Alligator mississippiensis: one gene and its partner. The protein of the gene in region 2 purifies or fractionates together with the protein of the main gene of each other region. This does not show direct contact. Links are inferred from orthologs where the notes say so. Each region holds a gene or a part of one and is shown on either strand. Other genes may lie near its edges.

Region 1 (7,417 bases), on a different chromosome or scaffold from region 2:
ACCTTGTTGGTCAGTTTTTTTCCTTCCTTAACCACACAGCAAGTCTCAGCTCCTCCGCTCTCCTTCTCTGTACAGCTGGAGAATGGGTGCAAGTCAGACATGGAGGGAGCTCTGGGTTCTGCTATACATAACAAAATAAATCACATCTCTTGGCTTTTACACTATAGTACCAGACTTGATATAACTTGAAGCTCTCAAAGCCCTTTGTGTGCAGTAGATAAACACCACAAAATCTCTAAAGTAGGTGAGTGTCATAGCCTATATCCAGATAGAAACCAGGCACAAGGAACTTAAGTTTGGCAATCAGACTTGCTCTGTGGCCTTTTGTCTAACTATATCTACAGCACAGCTGGAACTAGAATGCAAGCATCCTTACCACTAAGTCCATTCATAACACGCTAGAAGCCGTGCCCATTCTTAATTTAACAAGAAAACCCCTGGGATCCTGACTCCCAGGTCTCTCTATCCTTTGTTTTATATTTAAGCTTATTCCTTTTAGCAATCAGGGTCAGTAAGTTAGTGGCTGGTAAGTAAAAGGGCTGCACATCTCAGTGGAAAGCTCTATCTGCATAACTGGTATACCCAACTTCCATGCAGCACACATGCTAAATATCCCGTTTTCATTTGCTTCAGCAGTTCCCCTCATGATTAGGTGGGTCACTTTCCACCAAAAGTGTAGAATATTTGTGACAAGCTGCAAGTTGATGATGCAACACTGAGACACAAAGCCCAGAAGATTCTGCCTCTTGATGCCACGGATCCCTCTTTCCCCCCTTCCTACGGCTACTAGCCGAGTGAACTACCGGCCCTTGAAAAAACTCCGGGCCCCATGCCCAACAAAGAGCTGGTAGCAGTGGAGGATCCAAAACTAAACCAAACCCTTCCTGTGCCAAAGCTGAGCTCAGTGTAAACAGTACAATTTCAGTTTTAGAAACAACACTGTTTGAAACCCCACAGTAAGTGCATCCTTAATAGTCTCTCTTTATGCCCTTATTCGTTTTCAAAACTGGAGGTGAAAACACGATGTTTGCAACTCAGGAGCATGACTTCAATTTTATTTTTTTTTTTAAGGTTTCTCAAATAGAGAAGACATTGAATTTTACAGAGTAAAACAATAACTCTATAAAATAGGAAATGAGAATCTTGAACTATTCTATAACAGCAGGAAACTAAATACCTGGTTGCTCATGTAATGCTATCTATTTAGCTAATTTCAAGTGAATTATTTGCTAGAAAAAGACAGCTAGGATCACTCAAATCCTATTTATTCCAAGGGTAGCAGTCACAATTCAAGCTTCCCTAATCAAATGTTAAATTGTGATCTGAAGGGAAGAGTAAAATAATGCTGACCTTTTACAGTCAGAACTTCTTTTGCAAGCTACCTTAAGGGGAGGTTTTCATTTCAGTAACATTCATGTGGTTTCGCATTTACACAATCCCATGAGCACTGTAAAGGGCAACAGCACAGCTAGTGCACTACCTTAGCAAAAGAAGCACCACAAAATGAAACACACCTTCCTGTTTCCATTGTCAAAGATGAGCTAAATGAAAACTAAGGCAGAAAAGCCAGATTAAGAATTTTCCAGTTTTAGTTTTAAAACTAACAGAACAATTTATTTTAAAAAAATGAAACCAAGTGCATTCTTTTTGGTTTCTCTTTACAAATTCAGTGTCCTTTTGAAAGCAGCCTCCCCTGCTGTGAAATATAACAGGCATACTGTACTAGAATTAATATTATTGGCTATGCTATGGCTGGGAGACAAAGTAAGTAAAGGAAGACTCACAAGGATGTCTGAACAGGGGACATCCCTGATAAAATTCAAGAAGACCTCCTGCTAGTGGCTTAAGGTATCAGCACAGGTTTCACTGAATTGCTGTCTTGTATATTGATGGTATGCCCACAGTATGCTACAGACACTTTGCAGACACCAGAAGACAACACAATGCTAGCCTCCAAGAGTTCCTAATCCTAGACCCCGACCCTGTGCGGTTTTAAGGAATACATTATTATTAGGAGAGATACTGGCCAACTCAGCAGTTCAGACAGTTACATTCCACTCCAACTTCAGCCTTCAGGATGTTCTTTGCTGCCTATTCTATACCATGTTCTGTTGAATACAAAATTCAGTCAGTGGCAGCAGGTCAGCGATGGAATATGAAGGAGAGGGGTTTGCTTCAACATTTTGTTTGAGGGCAGTGGGGCTGATGTAATTCTTGGCCCTGTGCATTGTGTTTGTTCAAATTATTTTAGGATATTCAGTTAACCCCAACTTGTATGGAGAGCATTTTGGATGCATTACTTAAATGCTAACTAAAGGAATCCTGTTGTATGTAAAAATGCATCGGATGAGATCAGGGGTTTGGGTCTGATGAGATCAGACTTTAAGAAACAGCCCTTTGGCCTTCTGTGTCCCACATAGCTAAGACAACTCTGCTTGCTGAGAGTATGCATACCAGTTGAGCAATACCAATGCTCCCAAGGAAGCATTCCAACTCCCACAAAAGTACCAGGATACAACAGGGCTATTGGTTGTAGCTGTACTGGTCTAAGGACATAGGCAGACAAGGTTCTTTAGGTAAATGCAATATCTTTTATTAGACTATAGTTGGAAAAATTGTTCTTTGCAAGCTTTCAGGTACAAACATCCTTCTTCAGGCACAGGAAGAGTTAAGTCACCTTGCTACAGTGCAAAAATGCAGTGCAAACAGTCAATTATCAAGAGGGTGATAGTTTCCATCCACTCTTGTTTAATATAGAAAAGCAAAGCTAAACCAAGTCGGTAAATTTAAACACCGTAAAGCTTTACAAGTTACCAGGCAGTCAGGCATTTTACATCTTCATCAAAAGTTAAGCTTCCAGCAATCCCATTTTCTAGAGTCATTTCTTCCAGCTCTATAATTGTATAGCAACCAAGAAAGTAATTAGACCCAAGGATGATGCTTTATTTTACAGTTTGCGCTAGCTGCTAAAAAAGGATGTCTTAAGTAATTTTAAATGCAAAGATTTCGGCTGAGAAAAAAAACAAAAGAATTTCAAGTGATCACTTGATGTTTACTTGACACAGAAAGCTTTTCACCTTTTCAAGGTTACGTGGTTGAAGCACTCCACTGCTGTCTTGGAATTAGAACCAGAACTTTGTTCTAACATAAATGCAAGCCAAATGGTAGCTGACAAGGCCAAGGTAAGAGCATGAAACAGCCAAGAGTAATTACAATTTCCCCCTCAGCTTGATTCCTGAGGCCCATAGGGTTGTGAATGGCAAAGAACCCCAAAGACTTTTTCAAAATAGGACTTTTACCTTGAAAGTCCATGCTTTTAGTTGCTCACATCTTCCAAGGGGCACCCTTTAAGAGGGTGAGAGTGCAAATGACTTAGTGAAGGACAGCCAACCTTTTAGCTCTATTTCTCCAAGCATCTGGATTGGGCTTTGGCAGAAGCACGTACAGTAATAGCGTACAGTGAAAGAACAGCTCTCTCACCCCATCTTAACAATGGTTTAGGCCTCAAGTCCCATGAGACTCCAGAAGCACCAGGCTGGGCCAATCCCATGGCAACTCAGTACCCGCTCTTAGACGTGGCGTCTTGCAGCCAAAGAGAGTGGAAATGCCTTGCTAAACAGTTAGTGTTTTACTTCACAGGAATTAATGAGTTGAGGAGAGATGAATTTGGCTACAGCCTGGTTCCCTAAAACATCTTCATCTTGGTCTTGGAAATTAAGGGTGTGATGCTACCAGCATTTATGCATACAGAAGTCAACATGCAAGCTCTCCCTAGCCAGCTGGCCCCTAGGGTGCAGCTGACAACCCATTTGGCACATTACTAGTGGTGCCCTGGCAGTGGATCCCTCTGGGCTCTGGGAGCTACGCCCGGGGAGCAAACGCTTACATGGCCCAGCTCAGGCAGGGATGCACTGAGGCTGTGCCTCCCACGCCCCAGCCACCCGAGCTGTACCGACATACAAACCCAGATGAACTGCACTGCACTGCACTGCACTGCACTGCACTGCACTGCACTGCACCGCTGCCCCGCCCCGCTGCAACCCCCGCGCTCCGCAAGGTCGGGCCGAGCAGCCCTCACTACACCTGCGGGCAGGCGGGAGGCGCCAGGCCCCGCCCCGGTACCTTGTCGTCGGGCTCCCGGCCCAGGCGCTGCCGCAGCTCGCTCATGCTGAGCCCCGCTGCGAACCTCAGCAGCAGCGCGTGCGCCCAGGCCCCAGCGTTCCATCCGCCTGGCGCCGCCGCAGCCAATGGGAGCAGCGCGAGCCGGGAAGGAGGCGAGGCCACTCGCCTCGCCCCGCCCTGCCCCTCCTGACCCGGATGTAGGAACTCTTCTCTTCCTCCTCCTCCTCCCCGGCCTGTGGTGGCTGCCATGATAGGCGTACGCCGATGGCGGTTGTACATGAGCCATCCCCCAGACGCCGTGAAGCTCCCTGTAGCAGCCCCTGGGCACGGCACTCTTGCTTTGGGAGCATCCCAGAGGCAGGGCCGAGCAGCCGACCCTCGCAGCCTTGTGAAACAACGCGGGTTGTAAGGCCGGCCTCGATTGGTGGGAGGAAACGCGCTGCTTGTTACCTGCGTGGGGATTGGCGGTTGCAGAGCACGTGGGCGGGATTCTGTCCAGAATCCCAAGTAGGCGGAACTACCGGTGACTCCCAGGCTCTGATTGGCCGGAAGGAGGAGCTTTCATTTTTCGCGCACGATCCCGCTGGTGGGCACGGATCGGTAGATTGGCGGCAAGGAGGCGGGGCTTCAGGTTGCTGCGATTGGTGGAGAAGCCGGGGAGGCGGGACCCGGACGTGAGGTCAGAGGCGCTATAAAGAGAGCCGTTGGCGCGCCCCGAGAAGCAGCAGTCTAGTAGCTTTTTCTCGTCACCATGTTCGAGGCGCGGCTGGTGCAGGGTTCGGTGTTGAAGCGCGTGCTAGAGGCGCTTAAAGACCTCATCACTGAGGCCTGCTGGGACCTGGGCTCGGGCGGCATCAGCTTGCAGAGCATGGACTCCTCGCACGTCTCACTGGTGCAGCTCACGCTGCGCTCCGAGGGCTTCGACACCTACCGCTGCGACCGTAACATCGCTATGGGCGTCAACCTGACCAGGTGCCACGGGGGCGGTTGTGGGGGCTTGGAGCGCAACGCTTGTCCCGTTTGTGCCGCGCGCGTGCGCGGTGACGTCACGCCGGCGCCCCGCGCTCAGGGTTTTCCCGCGCGCAGTGGCGGGAAAGAACCCCTGCGGGGGGAGGAGTTTCGGCAGCTCTGCCTGGTGGGAAGGGGAAGGGTGGATGTGGCCCCTGCAGTGCATTGCTCCTCTGGCCTGGAAACGGCTTGCAGGGCTTGGGGGGAGGAAGAGTGGATGTGGTGGGTCAGGATGCCTTGCCTGGGCTGGTCTAACTAGTCTAGCCCTTGCTGCAGCATGTCCAAAATTCTGAAGTGTGCTGGCAACGAAGACATCATCACGCTGCGAGCAGAAGACAATGCAGACACCCTGGCCCTGGTGTTCGAGGCCCCAAGTAAGTACCTGTACTTCACAGAAGTTTAGGACTGGAAGAGACCTCATGAGATCATTGGGTCCAGCCCCTGGACAAGAAACACTACTGGGTTCAAACAACCCCTGCAGGGTGTGCATCTAGTCTCCTTTACCCCTGTGTTCTCACAAGGTCCCTTCCAGCCCTAAACTTTTGTGAAGATCTCTAGGTTGTGTCTGCACCACCTCCGCTGGGAATCAGTTCCAGAGTCTGGTCACATGAGCAGCAAAGAAGTCAGATGAGTCCTCACAGGTATGGTGCCTCAAGCCATGTTGGAGCTGCAGGGGTCTGAGAATGAGGTGATAGGCAGGGATTTTGTAAGGTCATCTCTTGGGCCAACTGTACAGCTGGGATGCAGGAGGCCTGATAAATGTCTTGCTTCCAAAAGTTTGTCTAGCTCTTATCCTGTGCTGTTTATCTAATCAAAGAGATCACCCTATGAAATCCTTGCCTCAGCAAAGGTAGGAAACACTTAAAAGCTCACATGCGCATAAAAATAAACACCCCCTCAAAAAAAAAAAAAGTGTCAGTTTTTGAACTTGCAGCACTACTTGAAGACTAAAATGAGTGCCTCTTATTAAGTTAATAGGCAGATGAGGCTGGAAGTGAACACTTGAATCATTGAGTCACAACCAGGGTCCCGCAGTGTGTTGAAGTGCTGCCAGATATTTTGGAGGTATGCAGATATAATTAGATAATTGGAGGCTCAGGCTTGTCTCTGTCTGGCTGGTTCCTCTCCATCTTCACTGATTGGTTCTCCTGAAAGCAGCTGAGCACTGTAGTATACAGATGAGCCTTTGAAATTGTACAAAATAAAGTGGCATCCAAAGTCAAGGCCCTTCGCCATGATGGGGTGGTGTGAGAACCACTCATCTGGTTTATGCTAGTACCTAGTTCAAAAGCTTTGTGTGATGTGTATACTTTTTTTATTTATTTATTTATTTATTTATTTATTTATTTATTTATTTTTTTTAGCTGAGTACAGTAGATGACGATCATCTAAATGACCAGAAGCTTTTATGGATACTTGTGTAGTTGCACCAAGAAATGTCTTGTGTCCTGTGACTTGGGGTGGGGTGGCATGCTCATAGCTGTTTGATAGGGCACCCAAGGGGAAAACTAGGAGTCATGGGCACAAACTCCTGGAAGATTGATTCAGGCTCAACATTAGGAAAAACTTCAGTTGAGGTGTCCAGCCTGGAATAAGCTCCTTCCAGAGATGGTGCAATTGCCTACCCTGGAAATCTCCAAGAGGAGACTAGACAGTCACCTTGCTGGGGTCACCTGACCCTCGGTTATCTTTCCTGCTTGGTGCATGGGGCTGGACCTGATGATCTTCCAAGGTCCCTTCCAGCCTTACAATCTATGAATATCACTTTTTTTCTTTTCTGTGTAAAAGTTTAAGAGGATCTAACTGCAAAACACAGGTTTAACTTTGCTTCACCAAACACACAGATGTATTTTGATGTTTTTCTCCTAGATCAAGAAAAGGTCTCCGATTATGAGATGAAACTAATGGATTTGGATGTGGAACAGCTTGGCATCCCAGTAAGCCATTTTGTTTTGTCTGAGCTAAATTTAATTGCTAATACTCATAAGTGAGAGTAAAATGTTAATGTTGAAGGCTTCTAAAATTTTCTGTGTTCCCAGTTCCTCACCTCAGTGGGATAGTTTTAAGATGGCCCATGGGAAGCATTAGGAATAGCCTAGAGTTTTTGAAGTGGTGATCACTGTGGATAGTGGTTGACTTGGCTCTTCAGTTCTCAAATGCATGATCAGGAGGACAGTGCGTTTTGTAACCTACCTTTTTAAGCACTTCCTTTTACAAAGAGAGGTGCACTAATTGACCCCTGTTGGCTATGCCCACTGAAGGTAAAGCTCACAAGTGATTATTCATA
Region 2 (7,201 bases):
GCTGGTCAGGCCCCGGCCCCTCTGGGCCCCACAGTCAGTTCAGAGCTGGGCAGCAAGGGGCAGGGAGAAAGGCTCCGGTGAGGCTGGGCATTGGCTCCCTGCCCCGGGGCGGCCTCACAGGCGCAGGTGTGGCACGGCTTTGGTGACATCCCGGAAGAAGGGGTGGCCCAGCGCTGACTTGGCCGAGATGCGCTTGTTGGGGTCGTAGTGCAGCATTTGCTGGGGAAGAGAGGGGGGAGGCGGGTTAGGCCAGGCAACCGAGGGAGCCCAGCTGGGTTGCACTCTCCTTCTCCACCACCCCAAAATGCTAAGAGCCAGAGCTGGCACGTGAGCTCCCCCAGCCCCGGTTTCTCCTGCTGTTCCTCCTGCCTGTTTGCTCCCAGCACAGAGGGGACTAGAAAGTTAGTTTCCTTCTGGGCAAGCCAGGCACCAGCTCTGACCCTGCTCTCCCAGAGCCTCGAACCTTGGGCCCAGTAGCGGACTACTCACAGCCAAGAGCTTCCTGCCCTCCTCGTCCAGCGGGGGCACCACCTTGCTGAAGTCCTGCCGGGCCCACTTGGGGAAGCTGGGCTTGTAGTCAGGCATGGAGGTGACTCCAGGCCACACAGCCTCATCCGGGGTGCCCAGCGTGCGGAAGATGCGGAACAGTTGGTCGATCTCGGAGTCACCAGGGAACAGGGCTCGGCGGGTGATCTGGGAGGGGCAGAAGAAAACCATGGGGGGCACCTGGGGGCCAGGTAGGAGGTCTAGGTGCTTGACGAGCCACTTAGACTCAATGCCTTCCCTGGAGGAAATCTGCTGAGCACCGGACACTGGGCTCTGCGCAGGGGTTAGGGTGGCAGGCTCGCGGGGGGCTGAACTGGGACTGGCCGGGTGGGGGGGGCCTGGCTGCCGAGGATAACACCAGGTCCCAGAAAGGCTGTGCCCAGATGGAGCCGAATCCCATGGGAAGCATCTCCCCCCCTCGCAATGTGACATGGACCCCATTCCATGTGACCCTCTCTGCCAGCACCCGGTCCCAGGACACCCCCTGCCCTGGGGAGGAGGAAATACCAGGCTGGCACGCTGCGGCCTGCACCCCACCCCAGTCCACAAGGTCCCTTTCTTCCCTGGGCCCTGCTGGGCGTCAGCAGCCCTTTGCGTGGCCGGTTGTGACGTCTCTGCTGGCCCAGCACAGCCCCGGGGCCTAGCTCTGCAGCTCCAGCTGGGGGGGAGGGAAGGGGGGCATGGGGGCCGCGCCAGGGACTTGGCTCCGAGCCAGCTTGCACTGGGAGCTGCCCTGCCCTGCTCATATTAAGGCTCATCTTCCCTCCCGCCATTCTTGCCTGCCACGGAGTGGGACCCCCGCACCCCCCACAACGGCCACGCACCATCTCAGCAAAGATGCAGCCCAAGCTCCAGATGTCCACAGCCGTCGAGTAGTACTTGCAGCCCAACAGGATTTCAGGGGCCCGGTACCAGAGAGTCACCACCTGGGAGGGTCGGGGAGGGGCAGGACAGGGGCACTGTCATGCCCAGCAGAGGGGCTAATGCCCCAAACAAGTGAGAAGTCACCCTCCCCACCTCCATAGGAGCAGCACATGTCACCTGTCCCCAGTGGACAGAAGGGAAACTGAGGCACATGTGGGACAGTGTGCTTTGAGCAGATAGTGGGTTTCTGGGGTAGCTGCAAAGAGAATCCAGGAGTCCAGCCATGTGACCTAGCATGTCACCCCCTCCAGCTAGAGCCTCAACTAGTGGGGCTGAGCACAGGGGAGGCCACTGTGTTTGGCCCAGGCCGGAGCTCCCTGCCAAGGCCCATGTGGGAGAGCCCCTGCATACCCCAGAGTGCTGCTGGGTGGGCAGGTCCCCTCACCTCATGGGTGTAGGTGCGGACAGGCACGCCGAATGCCCGCGCCAGCCCAAAGTCGGCCAACTTGATGGCGCCATCAGCATTGATGAGCAGGTTCTGGGGCTTGAGGTCGCGGTGCAGCACGCGGTGGGAGTGGCAGAAGGCCAGGCCCTGCAGCAGCTGGAACAGGTAGCTCTGCGGGGAAGGAGACGAGGCTGGTTACGGGCACGGGGACCAGGCACAGGGCTGCAAGTGGCCCGGGCAGGTGCAGTACCTTGATGAGGGGCAGTGCCATGCCGCTGAGGGAGGCCGAGTCCATGAACTTCTTCAGGTCCTGGTGGAGGAACTCGAAGACCAGGTAGAGCTTGTTCTCCGTGTGGATCACGTCCAGCAGCCTGGGCGGGGGGGAGAGGGGTGAGACGCCTGCACAGAGCTTGCTCCCAGGGGCTGCAGTGCCCCCCCCACCCCGTCCCCACTTACTTGACGATGTTGGGGTGGTTCAGCTCCTTGAGCAGCGAGATCTCCCGGATGGCCGTGCTGGGGACGCCCTCCGTCTCCCTGCGAGGGGGGAGGGGAGGAGCAGGACCCCGGGGCACGTGAGTCTCCTCGGCCCCCCGACCCGGCTGAGCCCCTCACATGCCAACGTGTGGGAACGAAGCCACCAGGCGAGCAGAGGGGCGATGATGGACGGGGGCTTCTTGCGCCCCGCGCCCGCAGACTGCACCAGCCCCAGCTCTGGGGAGCCCGGGGGGTGGGCCGCCCCCCCCAGCCACCAGGCCCACCCACGGGCCTCAAGGGGGCAGCCCCGCACCAGAGACGCCCCTGGGCTCGCAGGCAGGCAGGGCCCCGCGGGGCCTGCCCCGCACCTCGGCCCGGGCCGGATCCTGCCCCCCGGGACCAGCCGCCCCCGCGCTCACGTGTCCAGGCGGATCTTCTTGAGCGCCACCACCTCGCCCGTGACCTTGTTCTTGGCCTTGTACACGACGCCGTACGTGCCCTCGCCGATCTTCTCCACCTTCTGGAAGTTCTCCATGGGGCGGCCCGGGCCCGGGGCCGGGGGAGCGGCCGCGCGGGGAGCCAGAGCCGGGCTCGGGGCCGCTGCGGTTGGCGGCGCGCGGCCGGATGGAACCTTCGCCCCGGGACCCGCAACAATGTTGCCACTTTCCGCCTCCCCGCGCGGCCGCTTCCCGCGTTCCGCCGGCCCCGCCCTCGCCGCCGCGCCATTGGCTGGCGCTCCTCTCGCCCCGCCCACCCCGCCGCGCAGTTGGCTGGCGCGGCCGGTGATGCTAGGAGCGACGCGGGAGAGTCCTTAAAGGGCCAGGCGCTCCCGGATGAGCCCGGCTCCCGGTGTTTGCTTCCCGGATCTCCCGGGACGGTCAGCCTCCCGCCGTCTTCTGGGGTGTATTGTGGGCAGGGGTCTCCCCGACACCCCTATAGAGCCTGGAGCTCAGACCACCAGTGCCCCGGGCTAGGCCAGGCCAACAGACCCATTGCAAGTTGGAAAGACTGAGGCCACCGTCACAGGACGAGCCCCAGGCCTCCTCTGCTCCAGCCATTAGGCCCTGCTGCCTTGGCAGAGGGAGACCCCGGGGGTCCGGCCCACAAAGCCGAGGCCCCTGCTCCATCTGGCCCCTCTTGGGATTGCGTGTGCGGACAAGCTGGATGTGCAGCATGGGGGGCAAGGGAGCACGCAAAGCGCCTGGGCCGGGACCTGGCCGAGGCTTTGCTCCAGTTGGGGTCGGGCATCGTGGAGCAGCCCCCTGCCTGGCCCCTGCCCTTCCAGGGACCCACCTCATCAAGCATCCGGGGTTAGGAGTGAGGCCCCTGACCCCATCCCAACACGGGGCCAAGGGTGTCAGGCACCCACTGGGGCCAAGAGCTCAGGTGGGCCCAGAACGGGGCTGGGGCCTTTACGCCAGAGCTGGAATTGGGATGTGCTGTCGGTGTGCATGTGTGTGCGGGTGTCTGCACGTGTGTGCGCGGGTGTCTGCACGTGTGTCTGCATGTGGGCATGTGTGTGTGTGGGTGCGTGTGTGTATGTGTGCGTGCAAACATGCAGGGGCCTGGCAGAGGTGGCAAAGCAGCTGCCAACCGGCTGCCACTTCCTGCCAACACCTGGGCTGGTGTCGTCCCTGCAATGAGGTGTCTGTGCCTGGTGCCAGCTCTGCACCCAGAATCCCCCCCCCCCCAAGCAGCAGTGTTACTCCCCCACCTCCCCCCAGTCAGGTCCAGTCCAGTCCAGTCCAGGCCCTCTAACCCAGGTCCCCGGGGATGTAACCAGTCCCATCCCTTTCACTCCAGGCCCAGATCAGTCTTAGGCTCCCTGGGCCGAGCTTCGAGGCAGGTCCTCTGGTCGGGGAACCCCCACCTCAGCCCAGGTGCAGCCCATGACCCCATGCCAGAGCAGGCACAGCCCAGCCACGCAGCGGGGGGCACCTGGGCCCAGGACCCAGGACGGAGGTGTGTGCTGAAGATACAGTCATGGGTCTGAGCTGGCCACGGCTCCGACTCCAATGGCTCCTGGAGCAGCCATCATCCGGGTCCCCGTGTCTCCAACTGAGGAGCTGAGCAGGGACAGGGCAGCGGGCACCTCTGTCCTTCATGGCCTGGATCAGGGAGGCGGCCGCTGGGGGCAAAGGCTCAAGTGTCAGCTGGTGCCCGGGTGCCCCTGAGGCTGTCACTCCTGCTCACGAGGAGAGGAAGCGCCATGCCCCCCCCCAAATTCCTGCTTCTGCGTAGGAGGGAAAACCCCCATCGTCGTAGCAACCCAAACTTGTGACTCGACCTCACCCCCCCATTTGGGGGCATCTGGAAGGTGATGCCCATGGAGGGGCGGGGCTATGCAAATCAGGGCCCCTTCTTAGCTGGGGAGACCGGGAGGCTTCGCCTCTGCAACGAGGGTCTCCCGTGGGTGCGAGGGTCTGGCCGGGATGTGGACGAGCGGGTGCTTCCTGGCAGTCTGGGCCCTCCTGGGGGCGGCCACAGCTCAGCGTGGTGAGTGGGATCCAAGCCCAGGGGCTCCCTGGGGAGCTGGGGGTGGGGGGTTCTGTCTCGCCCGTTGTGGGGTCTGGCCCCTCCGCACCTCGCTCTGGGCACCAGGGCTGGGATGGGGGAAAGCTCCACTCCTGTGCTCTGCCCAGGCTCTGCATGTGCATGTGTGTGCTGGGGGGGGTCTCTGCAGGGTCTGCAATGGGGCAGGGAGCTGGTGTCAGGGCTGCACAGGCTGGAGGGACAGACAGACCTGGGGGTGCCCAGGATGGTGCCGCCTCCCAGTGCTCCCCACAAGGGATAGACCCAGCCTCAGCCCCCTTGGGACTGGGACAGACGGATTAACGGGGTGCCCCCCAAAGCCGAGCCACGTGGGCGCCAGATTCCAGACTCTGCTAATCCCTGCAGGGGCCCGGCGCCGGGACCGAGTGGGTGACGCAGGGGGAGGGCGGGCAGGCGTGCATGCATGCCTGTGCGTGTCCCTGCTAAGAGCTCGGGGTGGCCCTGCTCCCAGGGGCTGATGCCCACGGGGGGAGGAGGGAGGGGAGCTGGCCACCCTGGCAGTGCTGCAGCCCCTGCCCCAGGCCAAGCTGCCCTTGGGGGACCTCTCTCCTCCAGGTTCCCCCTGGACCCCCCAGGCACCCCCCCGACTGCCCCTCAGTTCTCACCTGTGTCGGGGGGGGGGCGCAGCTGGGCCCCGTGCCCAGCAGGGGTAGAGCCAGGGACTTGCCCCCTTTCCTAGAACCCCCAGTGCCTTGGCTGCCGGACCCCGACGTAGACAGGGAAACTGAGGCACAACAGGACTATGTGGGGGCAGTCACCTGGGGGTCAGTGGTGAGGGAGGCTGAAGGGAGAACCCAGGTATCCCTGCTTCCAGCCCCCTCCGGATACTGGGCCAGGGCCCATTCCCCACGCGCCGCACTGCACACAGGCCTCCAGAGGGGGGCGGCCTTCTCCCACGCCCCCCCCATCCCCTAATCGTGGTCTGGGGTAGGAGTCGGCACCGGCTCAGCTGAGAGTCACATGAAAGGGCTTGGGCAGGATCTGGAGCCATGTGATGGGGCTTTGCCTGGCGCCCCCCTCCTCCCCCATCACATGCTCCCCAACGTGCGGGGCTGGGCCCGGGGCCATGGGAGGGACATGATGGGGCGGCGGGCGGATGTGGTGCTAATGCTAATGCCTCGGCAGCAACCCCAGCTCCAGCCTCCAGGGGTGGGGGCCTGGGCCCACATGGCAGCCAGGCCCATGGCTGGGGACAGCAGCCCCAGCCCTGCTTGCCCCGTGGGTTTCTACCCACTTGACTCCCATGAATGAAGACCCCAGGCATCCTGGCTCCGTGCTCCTGCCTCTGGGGGTCAGAGCTGCCTCTGGTGATGGCGGGGGCTTCTGCCCCTGCCCCTGCCTGCTGCCCCCCACCCACTCTGCGTCTCTACAGGGCCTGGCGGTAGGAACCGAGGCAGCGACCGGGGCAGCCGCCAGCCCCTGGGCTACAGGTCCTGGAACAGCCAGCTCTACCCCTGGGGGCCAAGGGGGGACGCCCGGCAGCGGGACTGCTGGAGAGGTGAGTCCTGGGATGGGACCTGCCAAGCCCGACCTGGGCTGAGCCCCAGGGGCAAGGATGGAGGGGTGGGGGAACCAGGGCAGGGGCAGCTGCAGGTTGGTAATGGGGTGCCCTGGGGGAGCCGGGGCTGTGGGTCATGGGCTGGGGGTGGAGGTTGCAGCAGCATGGAGCTGGCCTGGGGCGGGGGTAATGGGAGGGGGCAACCTCCCACGTGCCCCCCGGGCCTGACCCTCTGCCCGCAGGCGGTGACGTGACCTTTGAGGTCACCAACGATGCCCCCACCATGACGGGCGCCAAGGCCACATTTGCCATCGCCCTGCGCTTCCCCAGCAACCAGACGGTGCTACCCGATGGCCGTGTCGTGTGGAGCCGCAACTGCACTGTCAATGGTGAGGGAGAGCCCCTGCCTGGCACCCGTCCCGGACTGGCTGCTGCATGGTGCCCGGTTCCAGAGAATGGGTAGGTCCCCCCCGCTGTGCGGCACTAACCCCCCCTCGCTCTGGCAGGGACCTGGGTGCGCCAGGGTGATGCCGTATTCCCGGAGATGCTGCCTGAGGGCACGGCTGGCACCTTCCCCGACGGGCAGCCCTTTCCCCGCAGCGCCTGGGGTGGCCGCAGCAAGTTCGTCTATGTCTGGTGGACCTGGGGTGAGTCCCCTGGGCACTCCTGGCCTCACAGGGCCGCCAGCTGCCCCCTTGGCCCAAGCCTCACCAGGCTCAGGCCCAGCTGTGGTCCCACCTGCACTCTGGAGGAGGACAGGACTGGGGAGGCTAAAGTGCAGGGAAAGTACCTCTGGAAGAGCTGGGAGAGAACTCAGGTGT

The links. Proteins that work in one complex are often made in the same cells at the same time.
Region 1: the proteins of CDK2 (region 2) and PCNA purify together in Homo sapiens (affinity purification with mass spectrometry; 8 studies listed by BioGRID and IntAct, counting the BioPlex papers as one, with this or other methods). This does not show direct contact. The link is inferred for Alligator mississippiensis from reciprocal best matches to the Homo sapiens genes CDK2 and PCNA.

What each region holds. Positions count from the first base shown.
Region 1 is NC_081830.1:25,946,596-25,954,012, reverse strand, and holds the start of PCNA (proliferating cell nuclear antigen), read left to right. Parts: upstream 1-4,397; 5' UTR 4,398-4,873; coding exon 4,874-5,094; intron 5,095-5,406; coding exon 5,407-5,504; intron 5,505-6,999; coding exon 7,000-7,067; intron 7,068-7,417. Other genes in the region: CDS2 (phosphatidate cytidylyltransferase 2), read right to left, coding at 4,084-4,167. UniProt on the Homo sapiens protein: Auxiliary protein of DNA polymerase delta and epsilon, is involved in the control of eukaryotic DNA replication by increasing the polymerase's processibility during elongation of the leading strand.
Region 2 is NC_081838.1:6,926,895-6,934,095, reverse strand, and holds the start of CDK2 (cyclin-dependent kinase 2), read right to left. Parts: upstream 3,018-7,201; 5' UTR 2,865-3,017; coding exon 2,749-2,864; intron 2,390-2,748; coding exon 2,312-2,389; intron 2,227-2,311; coding exon 2,106-2,226; intron 2,027-2,105; coding exon 1,856-2,026; intron 1,473-1,855; coding exon 1,371-1,472; intron 694-1,370; coding exon 490-693; intron 220-489; coding exon 115-219; 3' UTR 1-114. Other genes in the region: melanocyte protein PMEL, read left to right, coding at 4,762-4,825, 6,255-6,380, 6,623-6,769, 6,887-7,027. UniProt on the Homo sapiens protein: Serine/threonine-protein kinase involved in the control of the cell cycle; essential for meiosis, but dispensable for mitosis. Phosphorylates CABLES1, CTNNB1, CDK2AP2, ERCC6, NBN, USP37, p53/TP53, NPM1, CDK7, RB1, BRCA2, MYC, NPAT, EZH2.